Macaca fascicularis: one gene and its partners. The protein of the gene in region 4 interacts with the protein of the main gene of each other region in a pairwise test. Links are inferred from orthologs where the notes say so. Each region holds a gene or a part of one and is shown on either strand. Other genes may lie near its edges.

Evidence for each region.
Region 1: the proteins of UBE2D4 (region 4) and AMFR interact in a two-hybrid assay, tested with the Homo sapiens proteins (2 studies listed by BioGRID and IntAct). The link is inferred for Macaca fascicularis from reciprocal best matches to the Homo sapiens genes UBE2D4 and AMFR.
Region 2: the proteins of UBE2D4 (region 4) and RNF25 interact in binary tests that used the Homo sapiens proteins (3 or more experiments, as listed by UniProt). The link is inferred for Macaca fascicularis from reciprocal best matches to the Homo sapiens genes UBE2D4 and RNF25.
Region 3: the proteins of UBE2D4 (region 4) and RFWD3 interact in a two-hybrid assay, tested with the Homo sapiens proteins (2 studies listed by BioGRID and IntAct). The link is inferred for Macaca fascicularis from reciprocal best matches to the Homo sapiens genes UBE2D4 and RFWD3.
Region 5: the proteins of UBE2D4 (region 4) and RNF4 interact in a two-hybrid assay, tested with the Homo sapiens proteins (2 studies listed by BioGRID and IntAct). The link is inferred for Macaca fascicularis from reciprocal best matches to the Homo sapiens genes UBE2D4 and RNF4.
Region 6: the proteins of UBE2D4 (region 4) and RNF111 interact in a two-hybrid assay, tested with the Homo sapiens proteins (2 studies listed by BioGRID and IntAct). The link is inferred for Macaca fascicularis from reciprocal best matches to the Homo sapiens genes UBE2D4 and RNF111.

What each region holds. Positions count from the first base shown.
Region 1 is NC_088394.1:52,484,932-52,489,050, forward strand, and holds the start of AMFR (E3 ubiquitin-protein ligase AMFR), read right to left. Parts: upstream 2,801-4,119; 5' UTR 2,596-2,800; coding exon 2,341-2,595; intron 1-2,340. UniProt on the Homo sapiens protein: E3 ubiquitin-protein ligase that mediates the polyubiquitination of lysine and cysteine residues on target proteins, such as CD3D, CYP3A4, CFTR, INSIG1, SOAT2/ACAT2 and APOB for proteasomal degradation.
Region 2 is NC_088386.1:114,599,312-114,603,453, forward strand, and holds the start of RNF25 (E3 ubiquitin-protein ligase RNF25), read right to left. Parts: upstream 2,801-4,142; 5' UTR 2,769-2,800; coding exon 2,728-2,768; intron 1-2,727. Other genes in the region: STK36 (serine/threonine-protein kinase 36), read left to right, coding at 3,629-3,712. UniProt on the Homo sapiens protein: E3 ubiquitin-protein ligase that plays a key role in the RNF14-RNF25 translation quality control pathway, a pathway that takes place when a ribosome has stalled during translation, and which promotes ubiquitination and degradation of translation factors on stalled ribosomes.
Region 3 is NC_088394.1:70,432,284-70,434,913, forward strand, and holds part of RFWD3 (E3 ubiquitin-protein ligase RFWD3), read right to left. Parts: intron 523-2,630; coding exon 379-522; 3' UTR 1-378. UniProt on the Homo sapiens protein: E3 ubiquitin-protein ligase required for the repair of DNA interstrand cross-links (ICL) in response to DNA damage. Plays a key role in RPA-mediated DNA damage signaling and repair.
Region 4 is NC_088377.1:86,333,873-86,337,981, forward strand, and holds the start of UBE2D4 (ubiquitin-conjugating enzyme E2 D4), read right to left. Parts: upstream 2,801-4,109; 5' UTR 2,766-2,800; coding exon 2,724-2,765; intron 2,710-2,723; exon of another isoform or gene 2,310-2,709; coding exon of another isoform or gene 2,286-2,309; exon of another isoform or gene 2,116-2,285; intron 2,078-2,115; exon of another isoform or gene 1,877-2,077; intron 814-1,876; exon of another isoform or gene 708-813; intron 1-707. UniProt on the Homo sapiens protein: Accepts ubiquitin from the E1 complex and catalyzes its covalent attachment to other proteins. In vitro able to promote polyubiquitination using all 7 ubiquitin Lys residues, but may prefer 'Lys-11' and 'Lys-48'-linked polyubiquitination.
Region 5 is NC_088379.1:2,673,889-2,677,388, forward strand, and holds part of RNF4 (E3 ubiquitin-protein ligase RNF4), read left to right. Parts: intron 1-168; coding exon 169-178; intron 179-645; coding exon 646-805; intron 806-1,299; coding exon 1,300-1,348; intron 1,349-1,879; coding exon 1,880-2,029; 3' UTR 2,030-3,500. UniProt on the Homo sapiens protein: E3 ubiquitin-protein ligase which binds polysumoylated chains covalently attached to proteins and mediates 'Lys-6'-, 'Lys-11'-, 'Lys-48'- and 'Lys-63'-linked polyubiquitination of those substrates and their subsequent targeting to the proteasome for degradation.
Region 6 is NC_088381.1:35,570,969-35,573,315, forward strand, and holds the end of RNF111 (E3 ubiquitin-protein ligase Arkadia), read left to right. Parts: intron 1-197; coding exon 198-315; 3' UTR 316-1,847; downstream 1,848-2,347. UniProt on the Homo sapiens protein: E3 ubiquitin-protein ligase. Required for mesoderm patterning during embryonic development. Acts as an enhancer of the transcriptional responses of the SMAD2/SMAD3 effectors, which are activated downstream of BMP.

The DNA of each region.
Region 1 (4,119 bases), on a different chromosome or scaffold from region 4:
ATTATCACCTGTAAAATTGTGCCATATTACTGAGGGTAGGGGAAAGTGTTGTTCACAGATATGCCCTCCAGAGTGCCCAAAATAACACCTTCAAAAGGTTTTAAATTGAGTTTGTTCATGAAAAACCTCCTGTGATGCTATCAGACCGATATTATTCTAAACTGTGCTCCACAAAGATAAGTTTTAGGAACTGCAATATGTTAAACAATATCTAGCAGGACTTGCACTGGCAGAAGGATCAGTCTTTGTTTTGTCTTACTTGGCCTTGGCAGGCAGTGTTTGTGAAAAAGTTGAATCCGAATTCAACAGAACTAGGGGAGGATCCAGTTGACAAAGGCACCACCACATAGGGTATTCACTCAACAATCTTATCTGTCCCACCACTGGGGAAGGCTTTTGAGATTGTCACTTCTACTCAGCTGCTAAAGCAGAAACTACATAAACACTGAGTGATGAGACAAACTCACAGTGAGCACATGGAGGCTCTGAGAAACCAAAGCAGGCCAAAATAAACACGTGGAAATAAACACCCAGAGGAAAGATGGAGGAAAAACAGCACTAGGATCAACTGAGAAATGAAAATATCATCAGCAGAGAGTAAGAAGTGATAAACTTGCCAGAGGTAAGACCTCTACTGAAAATGCTGGAAGAAAAGGAAATTTCCTAAAAAGTAATCATCATCACAGAAAAATCAACAGCCTTTTATGTAATGTTTTCTGAAGAGGTATTAACCTTAGAATCTGAACATGGCTTTTATCAAAAGAAAGTCCTGCGGGGGAAAATCCATTAAATAATGCCAAGGTTGTTATATAAATAAAATAAGGGTTCCTTCTCAAAGGCTTATTTATATCTCAGACTTAAAAAATATCAAAGACTACATTATAATCTTAACATATGGCAAAAACACTCTCTATATCACTTTAAGTTGTTTACCTGCTAACTCAAATGCAAAATCAGATTTGAAATTAAGCAAGAGATGTGGGTGAGTTCTTTCTCTTCTCCCTTCTTTGGGTCTGTAAAGTTCAGTTTTACACAGCAGTAGACAAACAGGAACTTCACCCTTCACTGCCTTCTACTGAACTCTCCATCAGAAGGACCAGGAGACTTAATCCACAGCCCACAGAGTCCATAAATCCCACCGCTTCCTGATGAAGCACAGTGGGACTAATTATAACAAATGAGTTGCATATCATCCTGTCAACTTGGAATATTAATCTCTCAGTCATTTACAGCCTACTTTCAACCCCAAATGGGAACTTGGAAGGAGACAAAATACAAGAAGCCATATTAAATCCAAGTGAGACTTTAAATCCTGGAGAAACTTTTCTGATCACTGTGGGATTTACGTAAGTATTCAAGGCCAAGGTGAAAGCAAAATTCTGTAGCCAAAATATCATTGATCTGCTCAGTCTGAAATTATCTATTCTAATGAAGGAAACCAGCATGTGTGCCTTATCAATGCTGCTTATCTCGCGGGGGCAGACAACCTGGAAACTGCGTTAGAATAGATCCTCAAATAAGAAACATTCAGTTAACATGATGGGCTGCCTCTTGACACTGCGAATGTTTTGCTGTGTTCATACATCAAAGGAAAACTGTCATGAATCATCAGGTAAAGGCAGCAGAAAAGGAAGCACAGTTTGCCTGGTGTTTGTTTCATTAAACAGCTCCCAAAGGGGACAATCGAATACTAACCGGCAAAAAAGTTGTAGGAGACGCCTCTCTCCAACTGGAATGTCCAAAGACATCCAAGTGCTGAAAATTCCCCCATACTCAACGTCTGAATTCTCCCCTCTGCCCTCTCCTTTTCGTCGGAAGAAAACCCGCTAACAACAATCCCATGCTTGACCAAGTGGGAAAAGCTTTCAACTTCCCTCTACTTTGTCCAACCCTAGGGATAACGCACTCCCAGATCCCGACCTCCCCTTGAACCTGCCCTCTGAGATCTTAGTCTAGTTTCTCCCGAGGGTCCCCAGCCCCTTCCTCCCCACTGCCCTTTAACCCCTTCCCCTGCCCTGGGCCCCGTCCGCACCCCAACGCAGACCCTCGCCCGCCGCCTCCCCGACTCCCTTCCCGGAGCCCCCAACGCTGCCCTGCCCCTCGGGGCCTCCTCCTCGCAACTCCACATGATGTTCCTCCCGCCCGCGGTTCCCCCCCGCTGCCCCCCAGCGCCTCACCACTCTACCTAGGCAGCGCTCCCGCAGGCAAGGCCGCGCCCCCCAGGCGCTTGCCCTCCGGGGTCCCTGGCGCAGGGGCCCCTTGGCCCACCACGCCCCCCGCGGATAAAGGGTGACGCAGCGGACCCCGTCCCTGCCCCGCGGGCCCGGTCGCCTCGCTCACCCACACGAAGAGGCTATCTGAGAGCAGGTACTGGGCCACGTCGCGGGCCCGTGGTCCCCCCGCGCTCGGCCGGGCGGGCGCCGGCGGCTCGGGTTGCAGCGAGGCCGTTAGCTGGTCCGGCTCGCCCGGGCCGACCTCAGGCTGGCTGAGCGCGCGGTAGGCGCTGATTATGGTGCCCAGCAGGGCCAGGCCGCTGAGGCCCGTGTAGGTGCGGAGGCTGGGCCAGGGGAAGCGCTCGAGGAAGAGCAGCGGCATGGCGGCAGCGGCGACCTCCGGTCTCCGGGCCTCCCCGCGCTGCGGCCGGGCCCCTGCCGCGGTCTCGCGAACGGCGCCCACGGGCTCTGGCGTCGCTGTCGCTGCCGCTGCCGCTGCCGCTGCCGCCGCCGCCGCCGCCGCCACGCCGGGCCGGGCCGGGCCGCTCCTGGCTGCTGGCGCCGCTCCGCCCCGCGCTGCTCCCGCTGCTGCCCCTGCCGGCGCGGAAGAGCCTCGGCGGGCTCCGGGCAGGCCACCGCCCCCAGCGGGACGCGGGCGGGACGGGCGCAGGGGCGCGGCCTTCGTCCCCCGCCCCCAGCGGTCGCGCCGCCGCCTAGCGGGCGTAGGCCCAGGCCTCAGGCCCCGGGGGCCGGCACCCAGCATCATCCGCTGCCCGCACCACGGCTCGGCTGGGCCCACGGACACAGAGGGCACCTGCTCCGGCCGCGGCGCGGGCGTCACTCGGGCCCGCAGGCGCTGACGGGCGGGCCGGGCCTCAGGGCGCGGGGGACCCTGGCCACCAGGCCGCTGCCCACTTAACCCCCACCATTAACCCTCTGAAGCTAGTTACCCCCAAGCACTCCTAGGGGCCGAGCAGCTTCCCTGGTGCCCAAAACCCCAGAAGAAAAAATATTAACAGTCTTTCAAGTTTCTGCTGTTTACTAGTAGCCTCCAGCAGAAACTAAAAAATGAACCTGATTTAGCGGGAAATAAAAATGTGTTCCCTCATACACCAGAAGTGAGAATGTCAAATGGTGCGGCTGTCTTGGAAAATAATCTGCCCTTTCCTTAAAGTCAAACAAGAGTGACCATTTGACCCAGTAATTCCAGTCCTCTAAGAAAAGTGGAAACATACCTCCACACAAAACTTGTACACAAATGTTGATACCATTCTAACAACCAAAAGATGGAAACAACGCTAATGTCCATCAAGTGATGAGTAGATAAATGTGATATATCCATACAATGTACTATTCGGTCATAAAAATGAACTACTGATACATGCTACAATAGGGATGAACCTTAAACACGTGCTAAGTCAAAGAAGACAGCCACAAAGGTCCACGTGTTGTGTGATTCCATTGATATGAAATGTCCACAATAGGCAAGTACATATACAGACCCAGAAAGTTGATTAATGGTTGCTTAGGGATGGGAGGAAGAGGGAAGGTAGGGGGTGATAAAGGGCACAGGTTTCTTTTAAGAGACAGGGTCTGTGGCCCAGGCTGGAGTACGTACAGTGGCAGGAGCATGGCTCACTGCATCCTCCACCTTCTGGGCTCAAGAAATCTTCCTGCTTCAGTCTCTCCAGTAGATGGGATTATAGGCATATGCCACCACACGTGGCTAATCCTTAATTTTTGGTAGAGACAGCGTCTTGCTATATTGTCCAGACCTGTCTGTGGCTCCTGAGCCCAAGTGATCCTCCCACCGCGGCTTCGGAAAGTGCAGGGATTACAGGCGTGAGTCACTGGCTGGGACAGGTTTGTTTTCAAAGTGATGAAAATGTAAAATTGAGGTGATGAT
Region 2 (4,142 bases), on a different chromosome or scaffold from region 4:
TGCCAAGAGATGAAGAAGTGGATTCCAGAAAAATAAAATGACTAACCAAGGCTTAACATAGGTAGAACTGGGCCCAGAGTCGGGTTTCCTGACTCCCTGTTTAAGTTTCATTCCCCTTAGTGGCTGACTTTCTGGTCTAGAGGTATGGCACCCATTTACTAGCATTAACGTTACCAATATTACTCCAGCCTTTCCCTACATCAATGTCCAGTGTGGATCCCAGTGCCTTGGCTACCGTCTACATACACTTTTAACACCAGTCACCCTAAGCCTTCTTAAAGGAGATAGCAACCTCAACACAACAGGTCTAGGGTGGTGTAAAGGCTGTGTTGTAATGGAAAAGCCAGCAGCCTCGGAGTTAGTAACAGGTACCAATCACTTACAAGCTATGCGATCTGGGAAGTGACCTCTCTGTAAGCTTAAGTTATCCTGTCTATCACATATAGATGATAACACCTACTCTCTAGGGTTACTATGAGGATAAAAGGTGATTTGTTTATATAAAGTACCTAATAGTATCTGGGCTATAGTAGCTAGTCTACATCCTCTTTTTCTTCCCGTCTGTATATAACCTTCTCCCTTAGAAGGAAGAGGGAAGGAGGGAGGTAGTAGAGTACTCTGGATGTATTTATGACCCTGGCTGTCTGGTTGATCTACATCAGCCTGTTGAGGTTAGCATCCATGTTCCGATGTAAATCAGAGGACACACATGCTTAAGCATAGAAACAGTAGTTGTATTGAAATTGAAGCTGAGTGATCAGTTTGTGTCTACAGCTCTACCAGGTGATACATGGAAAAATGCATACTTTCCTTTCTCATACTGCTCTCTCTTCATTCTAAGAGTAAGGCTGCTCCAGCATGACTTATGTCAGTTGTTGTTAAGTCTTAGGCAGAAACTTCAAAATATAAAATACAAAGCTTTACACCTCACAGAAAATAGTGTAGTTTTGGCTGACATGGGATGGGAGTCTCACAGCACTACAGGCTGCTGCACTCACTGTTGTTCTCTCCATGGCTCAAGGTGTCTCCCCTGAATCTTAAAAGTTCCCCTGAACAGGTCAACTATAAGTTATCCCAGCACTTTGGGAGGCTGAGGTGGGAGGATCACTTGAGGCCAGGAGTTCGAGACCAGCCTGGGCAACAAAGCGAGACTATCTCTACAGAAAATAAAAAATTAGCTGGACACAGTGGTCCCAGCTACTTGGGAGGCTGAGGCAGAAGAATCGCTGGAGCCCAGGAGGTTGAGTCTGTAATGAGCCATGATCTTGCCACTGTACTCCAGCCTGGGTGACAAAGTAAGACTCCGTCTCTTAAAAAAAGAAAAGAAAAAGTTTCCCTGAACACTTTGAAAACCAGTAGTCTAGATAGTCTTAATAAAGGCCAGTACTAGCAGGGCTCCCTGAACCAATGTAACACTGAGGTGTAGCCTCAGTCAAGTGGCCCTTCAATACTTTGCCTACCCTAGTTATGTGGGTCCTGGATGGGATGCTGGTAAGGTGGTGACAACAAAATGGGGGAGAGGGGATTGAAGAATGTCCTAGTATAAAGAATCTAAGGTGTGGAGTCAGATAGATGTGGATTTCTAGTCGCAATTTTCCACCTTTTGGCAAATCACTTTACTTCTTTGGGGCTCATCTAATCTTCCCAGGTGCCTGCACCTCAGTTATTAATGAAAAGGAGGCCGGGTGTGGTGGCTCACGCCTGTAATTCCAGCACCTTGGGAGGCTGAGGTGGGAGGATCACTTGAACCCAGGGGTTCAAGACCAGCCTGGCCAACATGGCAAAACTCTGTCTCTACAAAAAATACAAAATTAGCTGGGCATGGTGGCACAGACCTGTAGCCTCAGCTACTTGGAAGGCTGAGGCAAGAGGATCACCTGAGCCTGGGGAGGTTGAGGCTGCAGTGAGCCATAATCGCACCACCGCACTCCAGCGTGGGCGACAGTGAGACTCTGTCTCAAAAAACAAAACAAAACAAAACAAAACAAAAAAACAGACTTAAGTATATTACAAATCCATCGTGATCCTCTCAACTATTCTGAGGTAAATACCACACCCACTTTGTTTTTACAGCTGAGGACACTGACTCACAGAAGCTAGATGGCCTGGTCAGCATCACACAGCTAATAAAATGCGGAGTTAACCCACATTGATCCTACTTCCAAATCCCAGAGTCCTTCCATGTTCTAGTCTTTAGTTAAGAATGCTTGAGAGAAGGACTAGAGGGACTTTATGTGAGGTGTAAAGCTTTATTCAGACAATAGTCCTCACTAGTGCTGTGTGGGAGAGAGAAGGTTGAGGAAAGCGTCGGCGGAAAAACGCTGATCCAAGGAGAAAGGGGTACCGAACCGGAGGGCACTAGTTCTGAGAGGCGAAAGGGAGATGGGGAGGTCTGACGGGCAGGCATCCCCCAAAGCCCCTGAGAAAATTCATTTGAGGAGCATAGAAAGGGATAGCGTGAAGCTGGAGGAAAGGGGATCGAACCGGATAAGGCGAGGCCTGAACTGGTCTGGCGGGCGCAGACCCGGTCTCTTCTCACTCAGATCAGCGCCCCTCCACCCTCCCGTTCCCCAGTCTAGAAGATCTCCCAGAGGAGATGTCAGCATCTCTGCCATCCCTCATCCTTCGCTCCACCCCACACGCCCGCCGTACGGACCGTCTGCGACAGCTGCTAGGCCTCTGGACTAGATCCAGACTGTCAGCCAAAGCCCATGCCCCCGAAGTTACCAGTCCTCCTCCCCTGCAGCTGCAGACGCAGACGCCGCCATGTCTTCACCGGCCCGCAGCCGGAACCGGAAATGCCCTTAGGGAAGTCGGAGGCGGAAAACTAAGAGGGGTGGGCAGCTAGCGTCGTTTCTAGGCAACCGCAGACTCCGGGTCCTTAGCCGGGCCTGACGGCCCAGAGGCAGTTCGGATGCGTCCCAGGAAGTGCCCATGTGTGGTCCGCCGTCCCTCCCACACCTCTGAGCGCCTTTGTCCTCTGAACTTCTCACCAGTTCTAGCGAGTGAAATTGTTAGAAAGGGAGCCAAAACAGACTGGCGCGAGGGGCGGGTGGAGAAGAATTGTAAGTCAGGCAACGTATGCAGGCAGCCAGAAGATATGGGGCTAAAGGCCAGGGAATCCGTCCCTGGGCCTGAGGAGCTTGGATCTCCTAGGCTGGGGATGAGAGAGGGACCCTGGCTTGCGAAGCGCATGGGCCAGGGGGTCTGAGAGCAGGTGCTGAGGAATCTGGGAGTGGCAGGAACTTGGGGGAGACTCGAAGGAGCAGGGTTGGGTGGGCGATGCTAGGTTAAGAGAGCAGGGTCGAGTGGGCCAAGCTGGGTGAGGGAGAAGGGGGACCAGGTGTCAGGTGGGCATGGGGCCGGGTTGGGGACAGGAGGCTGAAAGTGGAGAGGAACTACAAAGAGATGCTGTGTTTGTTCCAAGATCGCATCACCTTTGCGTCATTCTACCCTCCCATGTTTTTTGAGGCTTGGTCTTTGTGAAAAAGAGAAAAGGCAAGGTGGCTAACATTTTTCCTTTCCCATGCCCCAACTAGGCCTCCCAGATGTTGTGGAATTGTCCCTGGATCTATAGCTCTTCACCGTCTCTACCTTTTTCCTTCTAAGAGATTCTGAAACCTCTGTCATGGAAAAGTACCACGTGTTGGAGATGATTGGAGAAGGCTCTTTTGGGAGGGTGTACAAGGGTCGAAGAAAATACAGTGCTCAGGTATTGTACAAAGAGGGATACCTTTTGGGTGGGATTTGGTACCCCCAACTCCAGTGGAAAATGGGTCTAGAAGGGATGTATGTATACCAGTTTATATTCCTAAGGCATTGACTCTCTCATACTTCTTATGGAGTATAAGCTCTGAAGTTGTATTATTTGGGTATAAGTTCCATCTCCACCGCTTTCTAACCCTAGAATTATGGACAAATTACTTAACTTCTCTATGTCTCAATTTCCTCATCTCTAGAATGGGGATAAGAACAGCAACTGATTGATGGCATTTGAGATTAAGTATGTTGTCACATTAAATCAGTTAGTACAGTGCCTGGCTCTTAGTAAACAACAAATATTATTATTATTAGTCTCTAGCACACCATGTAGTAAGAGGTAAACCACTTGAACTCTATTATTTCCTCTTAATTTTTTTTCC
Region 3 (2,630 bases), on a different chromosome or scaffold from region 4:
TGTCATATCCCCCAGAAAATGCTTGATGCCTACTTACATCCTAGATGATGAGAGGACACTCTCTAAGGTCCAGAAAGTCACATAGAAAATAAAGAAAATAAGAATTTCCAACATACAATAACGGTAAATGAAGGCTTTAAACCCAAGAAATGGATAATGTAGATAAAGTACCCATCAATTACTCTTTTAGTGGACATAACAGATACACAATCTGTAGTGTCTCAGTGACCCAAAGTCCTAGAATCATATTAATGCAAACAAACCATGATCCCCAATGTTCTAGGCCGCAGACAATAAACAGGGATCTTGCTTGGGACTGCTAGGTGCTAGCAAACAACATTTAACCAGCAGCAGGCCTTCAAGGTTTCAAGACCACGGTCACTCCCACTTATAGATGTGGACCATCTTCTCTGTTAAGGTAGCCAAGTAGCTGTTATGGTTCACCTCAAATGGGCAGATGTCCAAGACAGGCTGATTGGTCTGTAGGTCCTGGAGCAACGAGCCACTGGCAGCATCCCACAGCTAAAGAACGCAAGCAGAGGGAAGGTTCAGGACCCAGTCAGTACACGAAGGGACTTCCTTTCTTCATCATCAAACAAGTCTAAAAGGCTGCAGAGAGAACACTACCTGGAGAGCAAAGCAGGCCATCCCTAACCTTCACAAAGTTGCTCAAAGCCAGCACACCTGACATGGTTCAGATACAGCCTCACCTACTGTAATCAGCAATTAGTCTACCTGTAAGTGGATCTGAAAATAAAGCCCAGCTTCCATTCATTCAATCTATGTGTCAGGCTCTTCTACGGACAGAAAGGTAAATTAAAAATAAAGTCCCTGTCTTTGCCCTCATGGAACTCACCTTTTTTTTTCTTGAGACAGAGTCTCGCTCTTGTCGCCCAGGCTGGAGTGCTGTGGCACTCCTTGGCTCACTGCAACATCTGCCTCCTGGGTTCAAGCGATTCTCCTGCCTCAGCCTCTCAAGTAGCTGGGACTACAGTGCCTGCCACCACACCCCGCTAATTTTCTTCTGTTTTAGTACAGATGGGGTTTCACCATGTTGGCCAGGCTGGTCTTGAACTCCTGACCTCACGTGATCCATCAACCCTGGCCTCCCAAAGTGCTGGGATTACAGGAGTGAGCCACCGCGTTGGCCAGGCATGGTGTCTCACACCTGTAATTCCAACACTTTGGGAGTCTGAGATGGGACGACAGCTTAAGGATAGGAGATAGAGACCAGCTGGGGCAATATAACAAGATTCTCATCTCTACAAGAAATTAAAAAATTAGCCAGGTGTGGTGATGCATGCCTGCAGTCTCAGCTACTCAAGAAAGGGTAAAAGAGGATTGCTTAAGCTGAGGAGTTTGAGGCTACAGTGAGCCATGATCACACTACTGCCCTCCAGTCTAGACTAAGCAAGATACTGTCTCCTAAAAAAGAAAAATATTTTAAAGTATTAAAAAGTAGAGTCAGCCAGGCATGGTGGCACACACCCATAGTTCCAGCTACTTGGGAGGCTGAAGAACAAGAATCACTTGAACCCAGGAGGTGGAGGTTGCAGTAAGCCAAGATTGCGCCTCTGCACTCCAGCCTGGGCAACAGAGCGAGACCCTGTCTCAAAAAAAAAAAAAAAAAAAAAAAAAGTATGACCAGGCACGGTGGCTCATGCTTGTAATCCTAGCAGTTTGTGAGGCTGAGGTGAGAAGACTGCTTGAGCCCAGGAGTTTGAGACCAGCCTGGGAAACATGGCAAAACCCCGTCTCTACTAAAAATACAAAAATTAGCCGGGTATGGTGGTGTGCACCCAGCTACTTAGGAAGCTGAGGCACAATAATTGCTTGAACCTGGGAGGCAGAGGTGGCAGTGAGCCGAGACTGCGCCACCGCATTCCAGCCTGGGTAACAGAGCGAGACTGTCTCAAGAAAAAAAAAAAAAAAGTACGCATCTGTTTAAAAAAAAAAAAACAAAAGGATGGGCCGGGCGTCATGGCTCATGCCTGTGATCCCACCTTTTTTCTTCTGCCATTGACTTCTTGTGGAAGCCGGATCAGCTGTCTTACAGAACGCCCACAACCTGGACTTGTGTGTATACTTTCTGTGCTATCATTAAACTTGTTCTCCTCTATTCCCTGCAACTCCAGTCAATGAAACTTAGCGCTAGCTTCTAGAGTGGCACTATACAATATAGTGGTCTCTAGTCACATAAGTTTATATTTAACTTGATTAAAAATAAAGTAAAACATTAAGTTCTTCCTTGGCACTAAGCACACTTTAAGTGCTCATGTGACTAGTGTGACTGTATTGGACAGTGCTACTCTACGACTTAATTAGACTCAGGTTCAAGAACATCTCAGCTGGGTACGATGGTTCACATCTATAATCCCAGCACTTCGGGAGGCCGAGGCTGGTGTATCACTTGAGATCAGGAGTTCGAGACCAGCCTGGTCAACACAGTGAAACCCTGTCTCTACTAAAAATACAAAAATCAGTTGGGTGTGGTGGTGGGTGCCTGTAATCCCAGCTACTCAGGAGGCTGAGGCAGGAGAATCACTTGAACTCAGGAGGTAGAGGTTGCAACAGTGAGTCAAGATCTACAAAGCAGTATGGAAAGCATATGTAAACCAAGCAACCTCACA
Region 4 (4,109 bases):
TTCACCACGTCCTCTCCTCAAGTCCTGTCAATTCCACTTCTGTGATGTGGTCCAGGCACTGCTTTGTGACCCATTTTGTACACCTCCTTGTTTCACTTTCACCACATCCTCTCCTCAAGTCCTGTCAATTCCACTTCTGTAATGTGGTCCAGGCACTGCTTTGGCCTAGCATCCATTCCATGGTCATTAATTTGGGCAAAGCCTCTGCTGAATCTTCACAACAGCCTCTAGTCTCCCTCTGTCCCACTTTAGGCCACACTGCCGCCAGAAGGATCTTTTTATAACACAGATCTCAGCACGTCATTCACCTGCTTCAAAGCCCTAGGATGACAGATGACCCCTTTCAGAGAATAACTCATCAAAATTATCTCTCTTTTGGACAGCTATTTAAAAAGAAGAGTCATACTCTCAGAGATCCTGTTATTCCACCTCTGGCAATCAAACCCAGTAATGTGAATTAAGGAAAAGGCTCACTGTACAATGATGGTTGATCTGGTTTGGATATTTGTCCCCTCCAAATCTCATGCTGAAATGTGATCGCCAGTGTTGGAGGCGGGGCCTGGTGGGAGGTGTCTGGGTCATGGGGGCAGATTCCTCATGAATGGCTTGGTAGCCCCCCAACAATAATCTGTGAGTGCTCACTCTATTAGTTCATGCGAGATCTGGGTGTTTAAAAGAGCTGGCATCTCTCTCGCTCCCTTTCTTACCAGGTGACACGCCTGCTTCTCCTTTGCTTTCCGCCATGATTGTAAGCTTCCTGAGGCCTCACTAGAAGCAGATGCTGGCACTATGCTTCTTGTACAGCCTGCAGAACTGAGAGCCAAATAAACCTCTTTTCTTTATTAATTACTCAGCCTCAGATATTCCTTTATAGCAAACAAAACAGCCTAATACAAAGTTCATAACAGCAAATAGTGAAGAATTTTGAACAACAGCAGCTAACTCATATTGAGTGCTTGGTATACAGCAAGCATGTGCTAAACACATTTCATAGCATTTAATTCTCGAAACAACTCTGTAAACATGTAGGACTGGGAGGCTAGGAATGATTAAGTGCCTTACCCAAGGTCCCACTATAAGTGACCTCACATTCTCTAACCCAGGTCTGACACCCAAGTTCATACTTTTACCTACTACAGTTTTACCTACTACAGGTAATGACTAAATAAGTCACTAGTCATGTACTTGTGGAAAGTTAATGTTAAAAATTAGTTACAGAACTGGACATGGTGTCTCACGTTGTAATCCCACCACTTTAGGAGGTAGAGGCAAGAGGATCGCTTAAGCCCAGGAGTATGAGACCAGCCTGGGCAACATAGTGAGACACTGTCTCTACAAAAAATAAACAATTGGCTGGGCATGGTGGCATGTAGTCCCCGCTACCCAGGAAGCTTAGGAGGGAGGATCACTTGAACCCGGACGGTTGAGGCTGCAGTGAGCCATGATTGTGCCACTGTACTCCAGCCTGGGCGACAGAGCAAGACTGTCTCAAAAAAAAAAAAAAAGTTATAAATACTACTTCACAACATGCTTACATTTACTATTATGTGAATAAGTGGAATACAAAATGCAGGATAATTGTTTTAAATATAGAAAAAACTGAACATAGGTATGCTAAAATGTTAACAAATAGTAAAGTGATAGGATTAGAAATACTTCTTTCTTCTACTGTTGTGCATTTTCCAAATCCTAGTGAATGCATTAAACCTTCATGGACTCCCTCTTACCTACAGGATAAAAATCAGTTATTTCAGCACTGCCCCTAAGGACCACCCGAGTCCACACCATCTGCCCTTCAGCTTCTCCCCTATCCTGTCAGTCCTCCAGGCCTCGTGGTCTCCCCATTGCCGGGAAAGCCTTTTTCCCTCTTCCCCACCTGCCGAGTTCCTACTCATCGCTTAGGACCCAGCTTCATCCTGGATACCCTTCTGGATACCCTTCTGGATACCCATCCAGCCCTTCTGGATACCCTAGAGGAGCAAGCTTGCCTTACTCCGGGGACCCAGCAACCCGCTGTCCAGGAGCCTGCAGGTGGCCCCACGGCGCCCCGCCAGCGTGACGCAGCCCACGTGGTCACGGCCCGGCCCCGCCCCGCGCTCGCGCAATCCCCTTCTCAGGCTGCGTTAGCTTTTCAGGCTGCGCGGGTGGCTGTTCGGCCACCTTCCTAGGCAGGTGTATCCGCGACTTGCGGAGCCTTTGTCACCTTTCACTTCACGGCAGCGGCGCCCCGCCCACACCTCGACGCTTCGGACACCCAAAGAGTCGGAGGGTGGGAAAGTGCGTACCTTCTGGATCCGCTTTAGCGCCATCCTACCCCGCTGCCGGGGACCCGGGCGGCCCGGCCAGGGCTGCCTGAGGCGGCCCGCTGCCGGGTCAGCCGCCACCGAGCTGCACGCCGGGAGCCGCCGCCTGCGCTTGCGCGCGCGGGGAACTGTGGGGCCGTCGTCGCCGCGTGCAGAGCGTCCTGGCGCGGCCGAGGGGAAGCCGCGGGGCTGCCCCGGTTACGCTGGCCACCCGCACCCGGTCCTGTGGCTTCGACCACTGGTCAGCAAGGCCCCGGAGAGGCCAGCGAAGAGGAGGGGCTCGTTGGCTTTACCAGACGCGCGGAGCACCCTCAAGGTGCCAAACGCTCGCTTGCTCCCTGTTCCTACATCCTGGGCGTCTTCTCAGGCTGTCATATAACTCCTGAGAATAGTGGTTCTTAACTCTGTAAGTATACATACCCTTGTACGCCTTATGGCTGGATGCGTTACAGCCATTTCCATGTAGATGTCTGTGCATACGTGCACACGCACAACTCTCCGCAGTTTTGGAGATCTCCGTGTTCAGTCGTACCTCACGTGATCTTGCACTGCCAATGTTGAGAACCAATGCCTTAGACTATGCATCACCCAAACTTAATTAGCTGTCTCCTTCCTGTTTTCCTAAGACTTGGCAGGCGTGTAGGTCAGAGTTGTTTAAACTGAGGGTTATGAACTATTTAGTGTGTCACGAAATCAATTTAATAGGTTGCAACCAACATTTGAAAAAAAAAAGCCAGACGAAGTGGCTCACGCCTACAATCCCAGCACTTTGGGAGGCTGAGGCAGGCGGATCACTTGAGGTCAGGAGTTCGAGACCAGCCTGGCCAACATGGTGAAACCCCGTCTGTACTAAAAATACAGAAATTAGCTGGGCATAGTAACGTATGCCTGTAATCCTAGCTACTTGAGAGGCTACTTGAGAATCACTTGAACCCAGGAGGCAGAGGTTGCAGTGAGCTGAGATCGCGCCACTGCACTCCAGCCTGGGCAACAGAGTGAGACTGTGTCTCAAAAATAATAAAAAATAAAAATAAAAAAGAGAAAAAAATGTCAGTGCCTTTCACACAGTGAAGGTAAGAATTGTGGAAGTTTTGTTGCTGTGTATATGTAGATGATATTTAATCTTCAGACTGAGACATGTTTGAGCATGAAAGTGGCTCTTAATATAATTACTCTGGGACCAAAGCCATAATTTAGGATTGTCTCCAGCCAGCCAGGACACATGGTCACCTCTATGTTTGTACTTAGGAAACAAAATGTATTATAGACATTTCAATGGTTGCCCAGCTTTGTCCCTGGCTTTCATGCTCCTATTCCCCCAATCTGTCCTCCACACAACTTCATAAACTGTCTGAAATATAAAGCTTACCACACTGCATCCTTACCCAGAACTCTTCAAGGAAGCCCAGTGGCCTATAGCATCACATTCACTGTCATTCAGGGGCCTTCAAAATCCAGGATCTTCAGCCAGGCACAGTGACTCACTGTGGCAAAGTGCCTGTAATCCCAGCACTTTGGGAGATTGAGGTGGGTGGATCCCTTAGTCCAGGAGTTCTAGACCATCCCTGGGCAACATGGTGAAACCCCGTCTCTACAAAAAATACAAAACTTAGCTGGGCATGGTGGTGTGCGCCTGTAGTCCCAGCTACTTGGGAGGCTGAGGTGGGAGGATCACTTGAGCCCGAGAGATCAAGGCTGCAGTGAGTTGTGATGGCACCACTGCACTCCAGGCTGGGAGACAGAGCAAGACCCAGTCTCAAAAAAACAAAAACTCAAAACAAAATCAAGTATCCTCCAGCTTTACCT
Region 5 (3,500 bases), on a different chromosome or scaffold from region 4:
GGGGAGGTGCACAGATACTCTGCGGGTGGGAGGAGGGTGGGGCCCCTGCTGCTCACCGGAGGGTTCCACAGAGGGTGTCACAGGTCAGAAAAAAGAAATGCCTTCATTTATCACTTATATCAAACTGATTGCTTGTTTCTCTTTTGTTTTTCTCCTTCTTTTTACAAGATTGTTGATGGTAAGTGGTTTCATTTCCTTTTTCACTGGGTTTGGAGCAAAAACTGCCTTAGGTGAGAGCTGCGGTGCGACAGGCCTTGGCAGACCTTCCCCAAGGGCTTGGAGCTCTCCAAGCAGGAAGATCCCTTCACACATACTGTGGTCAGACCCGCACAGGCAGTCCACTTGTGCCTGCTGAAGAAACTTCACCCCTATCACTGACACTGAGCTGTCGTCCTTTCTTGTGGCCTACCAGATTTTGGGAAAGGCTGGTAGCTCACAGCAGGGGTTGGGGCATTTCTCCTGAGAAGATAAGATAGTGGCCTCCAGAGCTGGGCAGAACCTTCTGGGTTATAGCTGAGCATGGCAGCAGTTTCTTTCTGGGGGTCCCAGGCAGGGAAGGAAGAGGGTCTTAAGAGGCATCAGGATGGGGGTGGTGAGGATGGTAAGAGTAGGGAGCCTCCAACCTGAAAATGTGACCTACCTTAGAAAGAAGAAGACCAAGGAGGAATGCTAGGAGGCTGCCCCAGGACCATGCTGACAGCTGCGTGGTGAGCAGTGACGACGAGGAGTTGTCCAGGGACAGAGACGTGTATGTGACTACCCACACTCCCAGAAACACCAGGGATGAGGGCGCTACAGGCCTCAGGTACCAACATGCCCCCAGCTCTGCTGCTGCCGTGCTAGGGGGTGGGACCAGGGCATAGGAATGCTTTTCAGCAAACCTGAGGGCTTGGCCCTGGCAGGGCTTGACCAAGCCTCTCCCCAGCATCTGGATACAGTTGGAACCTGGCCCAGAACTGAGCCCAGCTGTTTCCACTGTAACCAGAGTATGCTGAGCGCTGACAGAGTGGGCGCAGGCAGTCCCGGTGGCTCCAGACAGGGATCCTGGGGCCAGTAGGGACGTGGGGGAGGGCAGGGTGACTCAGGTTGTCTGCACCTTCTGATGTTCACCCTGCCACATGCCCTTGGGGCAGTTGGCTTTTCTGAAAGTCTCTTGGATGCCTGTGCTAAGGCAGAGTCAGAGGAGGCCGGGGTGGTTCTCTTGTAGGGGATGCAGGCCACTTACATGAAGGCCACTTATGGGGTATAATAAAATATTTGCATTGACTGAAAAACTAATGTGAAGCACTGTGCTCTTAGGCCCTCGGGTACCGTCAGTTGTCCTATCTGCATGGATGGATACTCTGAGGTAAGTAAACCAGGCTGTATCTTCCTTGCTTCTGGTTTCTAAACTTCATTGAAAGAACTGGATGAGACAGGATCTTCTCCCTTGGTGGGACTGGACAGCCCTACTCGCAGTCATGCCTGGGCATCACTTGCTGCAGATCTGCTTGTGAGTGGAGAATGTGCCAGTTTCTCCTTGGACCCTACAACTTTCACCTTCAGCGCCTGTATCCCTGTATGCCTTGAGCTTCCGGGTGTAAATGCGTCCTCCTTTTGTGTCCCCCATCCTGACTCTTCTGGAAGCGGCTAGTGTTTACTGGCGTCCCTCATAACCTTGGGCTGTCACACTGTTGAGATGCCATGGCCCCTGCCTCCTCCTCTCCAGCTTAGAGCGATCGCAGCAGGCACAGTTAGCTCTCCAGACCCCTCCCTGTTGCAGCCTGGCTCTTGTTTTCCTTCAATTGGTCATCTTAGGCATAGATGGGTGGGATTCTCTGGGGACCATGGCTGCTCTGGGATAAGGACAAACTCAGAGGCTCTTTTTAATCCCTTCTAGATTGTGCAGAATGGACGTCTCATCGTTTCCACAGAGTGTGGCCATGTCTTCTGTAGCCAGTGCCTCCGCGATTCCCTGAAGAATGCTAATACTTGCCCAACTTGTAGGAAAAAGATCAACCACAAACGGTACCACCCCATTTATATATGAAGTATTCAGAGTCGCCCAGGAGACACGGATGGACAGACAGACAGACAGGTTCTCCAGTGGTATCTGCCTCCATTTTCCTGAGCTCAAAAAGACTGTTTCAGAACCAACGTCTGATATGTAAACTGCTCTTTTGTTTCCAACCCCTTCTTTTTGTTATCTCCAGTTTGATGCTATGGCGCTGGACCCAGGGCCCTCCCAGGCCATCTCTGTTCGTCTGGGGTGGTCCAGTTCTAGAGTGGGAGAAAGGGAGTCAGGCACATTGGGAATCGTGGTTCTAGTCTGGTTGCAGAACCTGCACATTTGCCAAGAAATTTTCCTTGTTTGGAAAGTTTGCCCCAGCTTTCCCAGGCACACCACCTTTTGTTCCAAGTGTCTGCCGGTCGACCAATCTGCCTGCCACACATTGACCAAGCCAGACCCAGTTCACCCAGCTCGAAGATCCCAGGTGCAAGAGTGGCCCCTTGAGGCCCTGGAAAGACCAATCACTGGACTTCTTCCCTTGAGAGTCAGAGGTCACCCGTGATTCTGCCTGCACCTTACCATTGATCTGCAGTGATTTCTGCAAATCAGGAGAAACTGCAGGGCAATCCCGTTTCCTAAGAACAAAAAAGTGCAATAAAGGCCATTCATTACCTACTTTTCGGCACCCCACAAGATGTAGCACTATTAGCGTCCCCCTCAGAGGCCTAATGTTGCCTGGGGAGCAGTGCCCATCCCAGCCCGTTTCTGCCCGCCAGTTGTTCTCAGGAACCTTACCCATGCTCCAGCGTCCTTCACCTGGCACAGGACATGCAAGATAAATAGGGCAGGCACGTGTTTGGGTGTCCTCTCTTTTCTGATAAAATCCATCCTGTATTTGCCACACGCCCTCCAGTCCTCAGTTCCTCGGTTTCCACTGCCTAACGTCTGCCCCCGCGTAGATACTGAGAGGTGGTGGCAGTAATTGTGGCCTTATCAGCCGCTCAGTTCCAGGCTTTTGCCCAAGTCACTGTTGCCCCATGTTTCGGAGAACCTGGCCCACCTGACTTGGCTTTCTCATCCTTCCCAACCCAGTGCCATTTGTTTCAGAAGCTACTCCTCTGGCCAGCTGGGCTTGGATCCTTTGGGCTTTGACTGCTCCATAGGTTTTGATGGGTGAAACACGGGCCCAGATGACAACCTCTCCCTCACTCCACAGGTATGTGGGAGCCTCAGGTTCTCTGAAGGGCAGCAGAGTGGCCCACGCTGCCTCTGACAGCACAGGGCCTGGGGGTGGCTAACAAGAGAGGCCTTACAGTGCCAGCCTGCCTCCTCTTCCGCTGTCCTCCTTCCTCAGAGGGCTTCAAGCCAAACAAACGGCCTTTTCGTGTGAAACATCTTCAGAGTGGGAAAGGGGCCACTTCTGGCTTTGTTAGCAATAACTGACCTTCAGTTTACCCTTCTGAAGGAGCAGGGACTCAGCACAGAATTCACTTTAGACGGGGCTGAAGGA
Region 6 (2,347 bases), on a different chromosome or scaffold from region 4:
ATCCTGTAGCTTTGAAAGTTAATTATCTTGATCATTTATATATTATATTGCCCAGAGTGCTAATTTAATCTGTGTCTTTTATAGAAGAGAAAGATGCTTAGTAACTTCAAAACATTATTGAATTATTACATATATAATTTACCATGTGCAATTATCATAAAATTAATTTTTGCTTTTTGTTTTCTTGCCAATAATAGACGTCTTCCATGTATGCACCTTTTCCACCAAGTGTGTGTTGACCAATGGTTGATCACCAATAAGAAGTGCCCCATATGCAGAGTGGACATTGAGGCCCAGCTCCCAAGTGAAAGTTGACACCATGTTTCAGAACTCTTGCCCTCCCTCTCATTCCCATCCTTCCTGGTACTGCAGTCAACCAAAGATGGCATGACTTACCTGCGCAGATTTGGAAGCATTGAACTTAGAGTGCTGGCTCTGCTATATGGTACAACTAATGCTAGACCTACAGTTTATGTATACAGTTGATTTTCATGTATTTATAAAAGCTTTTTTTTCTAGATTTGACATTTTTCTGTATCATTTTACTGTATTTTTGCATGGTTCCTTGTATTGCATTTCTTTGCACATATTATGGGCTTGTGACCCTAAACTTGCAGGCAAGATTAGCTGCTTTAGTAAGTAGAATTTTGTGGTCTTTTTGTTTTTTACATAGTACCAAGCCTAGATAATTATGAATTTTTTATCCATTACTAATCTTTAATTTAATCAATCATGTACTTTAGTTTAATGTATAAAGATCCTCTAGAAAATGATAATATTGTGTATTAAGACATTCCTTAATTAGGACAAAATGGCTGCTGTATATTTACTATATGGAGTTCTGAGTTAAATACCATCCTTAATACTGGGAACAGAATACAACCCATATTAAATCAGATGCAGGTGGTAGTCACATCACCAGAGTGATCAGTATAAATTTTCTTGGTGTATCCTTTTCCTTTCAACACAGTGCAGATAAGAGTTGAATATTGATATCATACATTTAGACTGCTGTTCTGATTGCATTTATCTTTTTCCTACATCATTTAGAATTTTATTTCCCTGATTCAGTTTTTGCTGCTGTGAAACAGCTCTGATGAACACTAAATATTAATTTCAGTTAGCTAGATTGTACATACTTGCAGATTTAACAAAATTTTAGGGAAATTGAAAAAGACATGTAGAATTTGTTGTCTTCTGCTAAGCACGAAAAGTTAAGATATCTGCTTACAGTGATTTTGTAGACACATTAAGGCAAGATTTGGAATTTAAGTCATTGGCAGGTATCTGTGCATTCATAGAACTTCTAAAGGTCCCAGGATCACTTTTAAGGGATTTTTATTAGTTTAAAGATAAATAAAGTCAGCTGAATCTACATGTCTCTTGTTTTATTTCTCTCTAAACTTGAAAACAGTAAATCTGCAGATACTGTGAGGCACAAATTATACTGTCAACCTACTGTTGCTATGGTTATATACTCCCACTTCATACATTACCAAGAGTCGATCACTGATTTAAAATTTTTAATTTCTATAGTTAAGATTTACTGCATAATATAGAATATAAAGTTAAGTTAACATACTAACATTTCTCCTTTGGAGGAAGTTTTAATCTACTTCAGGATGCATATTATTATCAAGATACTTTCATATACAGGATAGCCTAATTTTATTTGTTTAAATATGCTTAATATGCCCCAGATTGCAAATGCATCCAGTCAGTAATATCACTGTCTGTATGTGGAGGACATGTTCCCATGGATCATATGTGAAGATGTCAATAAGCTTGCATTAAGCCACCTGCTTTGTAAGTGGATTGATTAATAAATAACTTATATTTCTATTGTCTTTGTGTTTCATAATTAGTTTTTATAAAAACAGTTTACATTAAACATCTTGGAATTCAAAAATAGTGATCTCACTCAAATTGACATTTGCATAATTTGACATTTATGTTCGTTCAGTTATGACTACTTGCCCTTTTCTTCATATTAGTAAATGTTACACTGTCATAGTTGTCGTTGTTAACATGCTTCAACATAGTATGTGTGTAGATGGACGATGGATTTAAAGAGCATACCTTACGATTAAACTGAGGTTATAGAAGGTCAGGGGAGAGTGAAGGACTGAGTGACCTATGGCTGCCATCTTACTGGGGAAAAGAGCAAGTAGCCTGTCTTCCTTTAAGTAAGTAGCCTGTAATGGATGTAGTACTTTGCCACTGGAATACCCCGGGTCTGTGCCAAGGGATTGAAGAAGTGTAAGATGGGAGAACTGTATGTCATGGAGTCCTCTTGATGTTCCCCCGAATACAAGTAAAGCACAGGTGGATTTCTCTATTTTTTGAA